Linked DNA regions of Xenopus tropicalis. The protein of the gene in region 1 purifies or fractionates together with the protein of each later gene. This does not show direct contact. Links are inferred from orthologs where the notes say so. Each region holds a gene or a part of one and is shown on either strand. Other genes may lie near its edges.

Region 1 (3,571 bases):
TCCACCCTTGATTATTTATTACTTATTATTACTAACCACTAGGGTGGTGCTGGCAGTGGTTAAAAACCTTTTGATCACATCAGTGAAAAAACATGCACTATTCCACACAGTGCCATATATTTTAAATATATTTAGTGATCCTTGTGGAGGAAATTTGAGTGCAAACATTTTTTTTTTACATTAAGCTTATGTGCTAATCAAAGGGAAAAATGTGCCACATTTTACCAATTTATCCATACTGCAAATATTATTTCCATGCATTACAGTGTAAATGCAGGAGCCGGAAGATTTGTGCCTGCTACCATATCTGCTAACTGTATTTGAAAAAAGTGATTTTTATATATTTTGTGGATAGCTTTCAGTGCTTAATAGATATTAGCACTGTTCAGTGCTTAATAGATAAGAAGCAAGTTAAGTCTCCACATATAAATCTTGCTCCACCATTTGTTTTATTTTTAATTACTACGAGAAATATTAACCAGAAGAATAAAAAAATAGCTGAGATCAAATAACTGGGCTTACAAAATGTACAAATCACATTGCTAATATAAAATTAAACCCATACATACACAAATCAAAAGCCTCTAGTTATATATCTTACCTTCCTAAAGTGAGTGAGCATGTCTGGACTCCTCTCACACATCTCTGTCAGAAGCACAACGGAGGTGTGAAGCACTCCTATGCAGAAAACAAAACATTGTCAGAAGTTTAATATTACAGACAATAATCACAAAATACTGGTGTCAAAAGCCAAATCCTTTTTCTACATACCATGGTTTTTTTCATTCAGCAAGTTTTTTGTTGCAGGCAAAAACATTTCCATGAGCTCTGGGACTTTTCTGATGACATGAACTGCACACAATGCCGCCTGGACACATGAACAAAGCAGAAACAATAAATAGCGAAATAATGCACATAACTAACTTTTAGGGAAATGTAAATACAGGTATAGGATTTATTATGCGGAATGCTGGAGACTTGGAACTAATGGTGGCCATACACGAGCAGATCCGCTCGCTTGGCGATGTCGCCAAGCGAGCGGATCTTCCCCCGATATCCCCACCTACGGGTGGGCGATATCGGGGACCATTTAGGTAAAAAAAATAATAATCCGATCGTTTGGCCCTGGGGCCAGACGATCGGATTATGTGGGCGGCAATGGGGCAGTCGGATCGGGGACCGCATCAACGAGCCGATGCGGTCCCCGATCCGACCACATTTTCTAACCTGGCCGATCGAGATCTGGCCAATTTCAGACCAGATATCGGTCGGCCAGGCTGCTCTGCTCTCCCCATACACGGGCCGATTAGCTGCCGAATCGGTCCAAGGGACCGATATCGGCAGCTATAGTCGGCCCGTGTATGGCCACCTTAAGAGTTGTGCCACTTAAACGGAGAATGGGAACATTTCCACATGCGTATCTGATATGTTACACATTTTTCAGACCTGACAACATTTTAGTATTCCGTATAGCATGCCAACCATAACAGTTTGATGTTTTATGTTTATTACATATGAACTTCTTTCAACCGTCTCATATATATAAGATATATATATATCCAAAAGTATATGCATATACATAATCCAGCAATACCTTTTTTCGTAGGTAGGAATTTGATGTTTTGAGTAGTTTCTCCACTTCTCCTGCCAGATCTCTGCACATCTCAGCAGATCCCATGCAACCCAGTGTGCAAAGTGCCAAGCCCTGCACATACTGTGTGCTGTGATTTAAGTCACTAGGAAAAAGACAAGCGTTACGTTAAGGCTTTTAGAAATGCTAAGTGTCTATCATCCTATATGCTATAGACATTTACTTTATAAATGGTAATACTGAGTGCAGAAGAAGAGAAATTGTGATTCTAAAAGGAGGAGCCTCTATTAATACAGCCTTAACCCACCCCTCGCCATCTTGAAAGGTAAAACATTTGGCACAAGTAACAGCTGTTTATCTCAGTATACTATAGGTAATGACCATTTGAACAATGGAACATAAGGTCGCTATGTGGTTTTCTGACTGCAAAATGTGTATACTGCTAGACTAAGGACCCTCTAATACTGGCCTACATTTGGTGCTTCGGATTTATTTGATTACACCATGTCTAAAGGCTTCAACATGCTACCCACTTCTGGCAATGAGAATTTACTGGTCCGTCAAAAGTGTGGGTGGTTGGGGAGATATCTCCTATGTTTTATGTTTAAACAGAAGGCTGAAGTAGAATTGAAAGTGTCTAAGGCAAATGAATGCAAATAAGAGCCACAAGCATATATGATCATTAATTAAAAGGAGAAGACAGTAGTCATTTCTGCTTTATTGTTCAGATTTAGGTCATTTCTTAAGAGGGCTATCTGCTATAATGGTCACAAATCTTACTTAGCACCAACTTTTTACAACACTTCTGCAAACATCCCCTTTGCTGAGCTTTTGGACAAGCGCATATTCTTGCAACATTTTTAAATACTAATTGCATGTTTTTCTAGTTTCCTACTTAGTTAAAGATATGATACATTGCGGCCAGTGTTTATCCATGGAAGGACACTACAAAAACACACTTAAAACTTTGGCTTGGTTGCCAAGAAAAGTAAGGAAAAAAAAGCAACTGAAAACCACCTTTCCCTCAACCAATACACTGCCATCATACTTCTACTATAGACCTTTTTTAAGCATCTCAGCAATCTCAAGGGTATGAGAAGCATAGTATACTCAACTCTCTGCTGACCCCTAGTCACTGGCACTGTTCATCCACTCAGTTCTAAAAAAAACAGGCCTACATTTTTCCCAACATCACACTTATTAACACACATTACTTTTTAATGCAGTTGGTCATCAGCAAATGGACATCCTGTCGCTCATCTAGAAGCAGCATTGCTCCCAGGTACCCAATCCGTTTATCTGTGAACTTCTGAGAAGCTATGAGCTTCAAGCACTCCAACTAAAAGAAAAAATCTAAATAAATAGCTGAAATGTAATTATTATGATACCTCCCTAAAATGTACTAACATTTAACATTTTTAAACACTGCCTGGTGTATTTGTGATTAAACAGCCACTTCAATATTACTAATAATTATTAAATGCGGGGGGGGGAGGGGGCCCTACACTTGATTCAAGCCAGGGCACTATATGCAAGGAGATTGTATGTTCTCCCTGATCTTGTTGGGGAACTTCTCCGGCAGGTTAACTGGTTTCTCATAAATTTAACCATAGTGTGTGAATGCAAAATGGAGAACCATGGTGCATGGAATGATGTATAATCTCTGTAAAATGCTGTGGAATATGTTGGTGCTGTATCAATAAAGAATAATCACTAATAATAAAGGAGAGTTAGGTCCTACATGTGCAGTTATCTGATCTTACTCACTGTCACACTAAAATGTCAAGGAAAACACTAATGGGGTCTTACCTGCCCAAAATGTGCAGGATACCCCAACATATGCATGTACAGCAGTTTGGCCACATTACGGCACCGGTATGTGTTGTCTTCTTCACGGAAAGACGAGCGTATTGCAGCACATTCTTTCTGGATCATTTCCCGCTCTTCTGCCTGAGTGCGTGCCGTCCGGATGGTACGGAT
Region 2 (3,571 bases), on another chromosome or scaffold:
TGTAGTTAGGGGGTGGCCGCTACTCATAGTAGGACCCTGTGGAGCACCAGTTGGGAGGAGAAGGGGCCATCTTGCTCTGCTTTCACCATCTTACTGTACTGTTAGCACCTTGCTCATAGGGCTTAAACATAAACCAATCAGCAGGTAGCATTTAAACATCTGATTGCTATGGGTTACTAGACCTGTAAATCTCTGTCGCCAGTTTATAGCTGATCAGACCCCTTTTTCTGTTATGCCCAGGTATATCACTCAGCAAGGAAACAAATTGGATACAGGCAAATCTCGTGTCCCCACCACGGTGACCAACGCCGTGTCCTGGAGGTCCGAAGGGATCAAGTATAAGAAGAATGAAGTCTTCATAGATGTGATTGAGTCCGTCAATATTCTAGTAAGTAAGGGCTGTAATGTTAGTGTGGTTTGAGAGCTGTTCTGCCCAGGGGCCACCTATGAGTTTGTCCCCTATGAGTAATGGCTTCCGCCGTGGCCCCTTCATCCCATCTCTGGCCCTGGTTCCCGCAATGCAATTTGCCCTCTGAGCTCCAATTTAACACTCTATCTTTGTGTTCCAGGTGAATAGCAACGGCAGCGTTCTACGCAGTGAGATTGTGGGCAGTGTGAAGCTAAAGGTCTTTCTCTCGGGGATGCCGGAGTTACGGCTGGGGCTTAACGACAGAGTCCTCTTTGAACTAACTGGCCGTGAGTTGTGGGGGGGAATAAGCCACCCCTCTGCTAATGCACTCTTCCACCATACCAAGCCACCCCTCTGCTAATGCACTCTTCCACCATACCAAGCCACCCCTCTGCTAATGCACTCTTCCACCATACCAAGCCACCCCTCTGCTAATGCGCTCTTCCACCATACCAAGCCACCCCTCTGCTAATGCGCTCTTCCACCATACCAAGCCACCCCTCTGCTAATGCGCTCTTCCACCATACCAAGCCACCCCTCTGCTAATGCGCTCTTCCACCATACCAAGCCACCCCTCTGCTAATGCACTCTTCCACCATACCAAGCCACCCCTCTGCTAATGCACTCTTCCGCCATACCAAGCCACCCCTCTGCTAATGCACTCTTCCGCCATACCAAGCCACCCCTCTGCTAATGCACTCTTCCGCCATACCAAGCCACCCCTCTGCTAATGCACTCTTCCGCCATACCAAGCCACCCCTCTGCTAATGCACTCTTCCGCCATACCAAGCCACCCCTCTGCTAATGCACTCTTCCGCCATACCAAGCCACCCCTCTGCTAATGCACGCTTCCGCCATACCAAGCCACCCCTCTGCTAATGCACTCTTCCGCCATACCAAGCCACCCCTCTGCTAATGCACTCTTCCACCATACCAAGCCACACCTCTGCTAATGCACGCTTACACCATACCAAGCCACCCCTCTGCTAATGCACTCTTCCAACATACCAAGCCACACCTCTTCCATCTGACAACTCAACCAATCCCTTCAGGGCCCCATATCAATTCAGAATTAATTCAAACTATTCCCCAAACTGTCTCCTTCCTTCTTCCCTTATCTTCTATCCCCCTCGGTCATTACCTTCTCCAATATGAGCTACTGGGGGCATAGATCTTCCCGGCTAAAAGCCCAAAACTTAAGGTGTAGCATCTCTATCCCAATTCATTGTGGAGTCTTAGTTCCCCTTTAAAGGTAAAACATGTCACAGCTGTTGAAGTACAGTAATAATAACTGTAATAACTTTTATATTAAAGTTCCTTCTTCAGACAGATTTTGATGCAGTGTTCTCTACTGTTTTCAGCCATCTTTTAACTGTTTTCTGAACAAAGCCCCACCCACCCAGGTAACCCAGTCACATGGCTTTGTCTTTCCTTCAAACACAGGCAACAAAAATAAAACAGTGGAGCTTGAAGACGTGAAGTTTCACCAGTGCGTCCGCCTGTCCCGCTTTGAGAATGACCGCACCATTTCCTTTATCCCTCCGGATGGCGACTTTGAGCTCATGTCTTACAGGCTGAACACACAGGTACTGCATTGTCCCACAGGAATAAGTGTTATAGTTCAACTACAGCAAGTGATTTGTATTGTAGAGCTTATCAATATAGCAGCACTAAACAGTCAGTTTGCTTTTTAACAAACATATTTTATTTGTATTTTAGGTTAAACCATTAATCTGGATAGAGTCAGTAATTGAGAAATTCAGTCATAGCCGGCTGGAGATTATGGTGAAGGTAAGACATGGAGTCTGTCCCTCCCACTGCAGGGTGATAGTGACACAGACAGGAGGGGGCTATGGGACACGGAGTCTGTCCCTCCCACTGCAGGGTGATACAGTGACACAGACAGGAGGGAGCTATGGGACACGGAGTCTGTCCCTCCCACTGCAGGGTGATAGTGACACAGACAGGAGGGGGCTATGGGACACGGAGTCTGTCCCTCCCACTGCAGGGTGATACAGTGACACAGACAGGAGGGAGCTATGGGACACGGAGTCTGTCCCTCCCACTGCAGGGTGATAGTGACACAGACAGGAGTGGGGCTATGGGACACGGAGTCTGCCCCTCCCACTGCAGGGTGATACAGTGACACAGACAGGAGGGGGCTATGGGACATGGAGTCTGCCCCTCCCACTGCAGGGTGATACAGTGACACAGACAGGAGGGGGCTATGGGACACGGAGTCTGCCCCTCCCACTGCAGGGTGATACAGTGACACAGACAGGAGGGGGCTATGGGACACGGAGTCTGTCCCTCCCACTGCAGGGTGATACAGTGACACAGACAGGAGGGAGCTATGGGACACGGAGTCTGCCCCTCCCACTGCAGGGTGATACAGTGACACAGACAGGAGGGGGCTATGGGACACGGAGTCTGTCCCTCCCACTGCAGGGTGATACAGTGACACAGACAGGAGGGGGCTATGGGACACGGAGTCTGCCCCTCCCACTGCAGGGTGATACAGTGACACAGACAGGAGGGAGCTATGGGGCACGGAGTCTGTCCCTCCCACTGCAGGGTGATACAGTGACACAGACAGGAGGGAGCTATGGGACACGGAGTCTGCCCCTCCCACTGCAGGGTGATACAGTGACACAGACAGGAGGTGGCTATGGGACACGGAGTCTGTCCCTCCCACTGCAGGGTGATACAGTGACACAGACAGGAGGGAGCTATGGGACACGGAGTCTGCCCCTCCCACTGCAGGGTGATACAGTGACACAGACAGGAGGTGGCTATGGGACATGGAGTTTGCCCCTCCCACTGCAGGGTGACAGACAGCGGGTGGCTATGGGTACCTCCCAGTGTTGCTGCACTAATTATAATCTCTTACACTTTTCAGGCTAAGGGGCAATTTAAGAAACAATCGGTGGCAAATAATGTGGAGATTTCTGTGCCGGTGCCGAGTGATGCTGATTCTCCCAAGTTTAAAACCAGTGTGGGGAGCGCGAAATATGTCCCTGAAAAAAATGTGGTGATTTGGACAATCAAATCATTTCCGGTGAGCTTCATGGGATAAATGATAATAGTGAAAGGTAAATGTGTGGCCCCTGGGCTGATCAGGGCCCCACAGATGCCCCTGCCTGAATTTACATCAAACACGGT

Evidence for each region. Proteins that work in one complex are often made in the same cells at the same time.
Region 2: the proteins of ap1g1 (region 1) and ap1m2 purify together in Homo sapiens (affinity purification with mass spectrometry; 4 studies listed by BioGRID and IntAct, counting the BioPlex papers as one, with this or other methods). This does not show direct contact. The link is inferred for Xenopus tropicalis from reciprocal best matches to the Homo sapiens genes AP1G1 and AP1M2.

Annotation. Positions count from the first base shown.
Region 1 is NC_030680.2:59,344,682-59,348,252, reverse strand, and holds part of ap1g1 (AP-1 complex subunit gamma-1), read right to left. Parts: coding exon 3,401-3,571; intron 2,931-3,400; coding exon 2,806-2,930; intron 1,737-2,805; coding exon 1,595-1,736; intron 869-1,594; coding exon 772-868; intron 679-771; coding exon 602-678; intron 1-601. UniProt on the Homo sapiens protein: Subunit of clathrin-associated adaptor protein complex 1 that plays a role in protein sorting in the late-Golgi/trans-Golgi network (TGN) and/or endosomes.
Region 2 is NC_030679.2:138,232,254-138,235,824, reverse strand, and holds part of ap1m2 (AP-1 complex subunit mu-2), read left to right. Parts: intron 1-240; coding exon 241-388; intron 389-569; coding exon 570-696; intron 697-1,852; coding exon 1,853-1,995; intron 1,996-2,128; coding exon 2,129-2,200; intron 2,201-3,308; coding exon 3,309-3,467; intron 3,468-3,571. UniProt on the Homo sapiens protein: Subunit of clathrin-associated adaptor protein complex 1 that plays a role in protein sorting in the trans-Golgi network (TGN) and endosomes.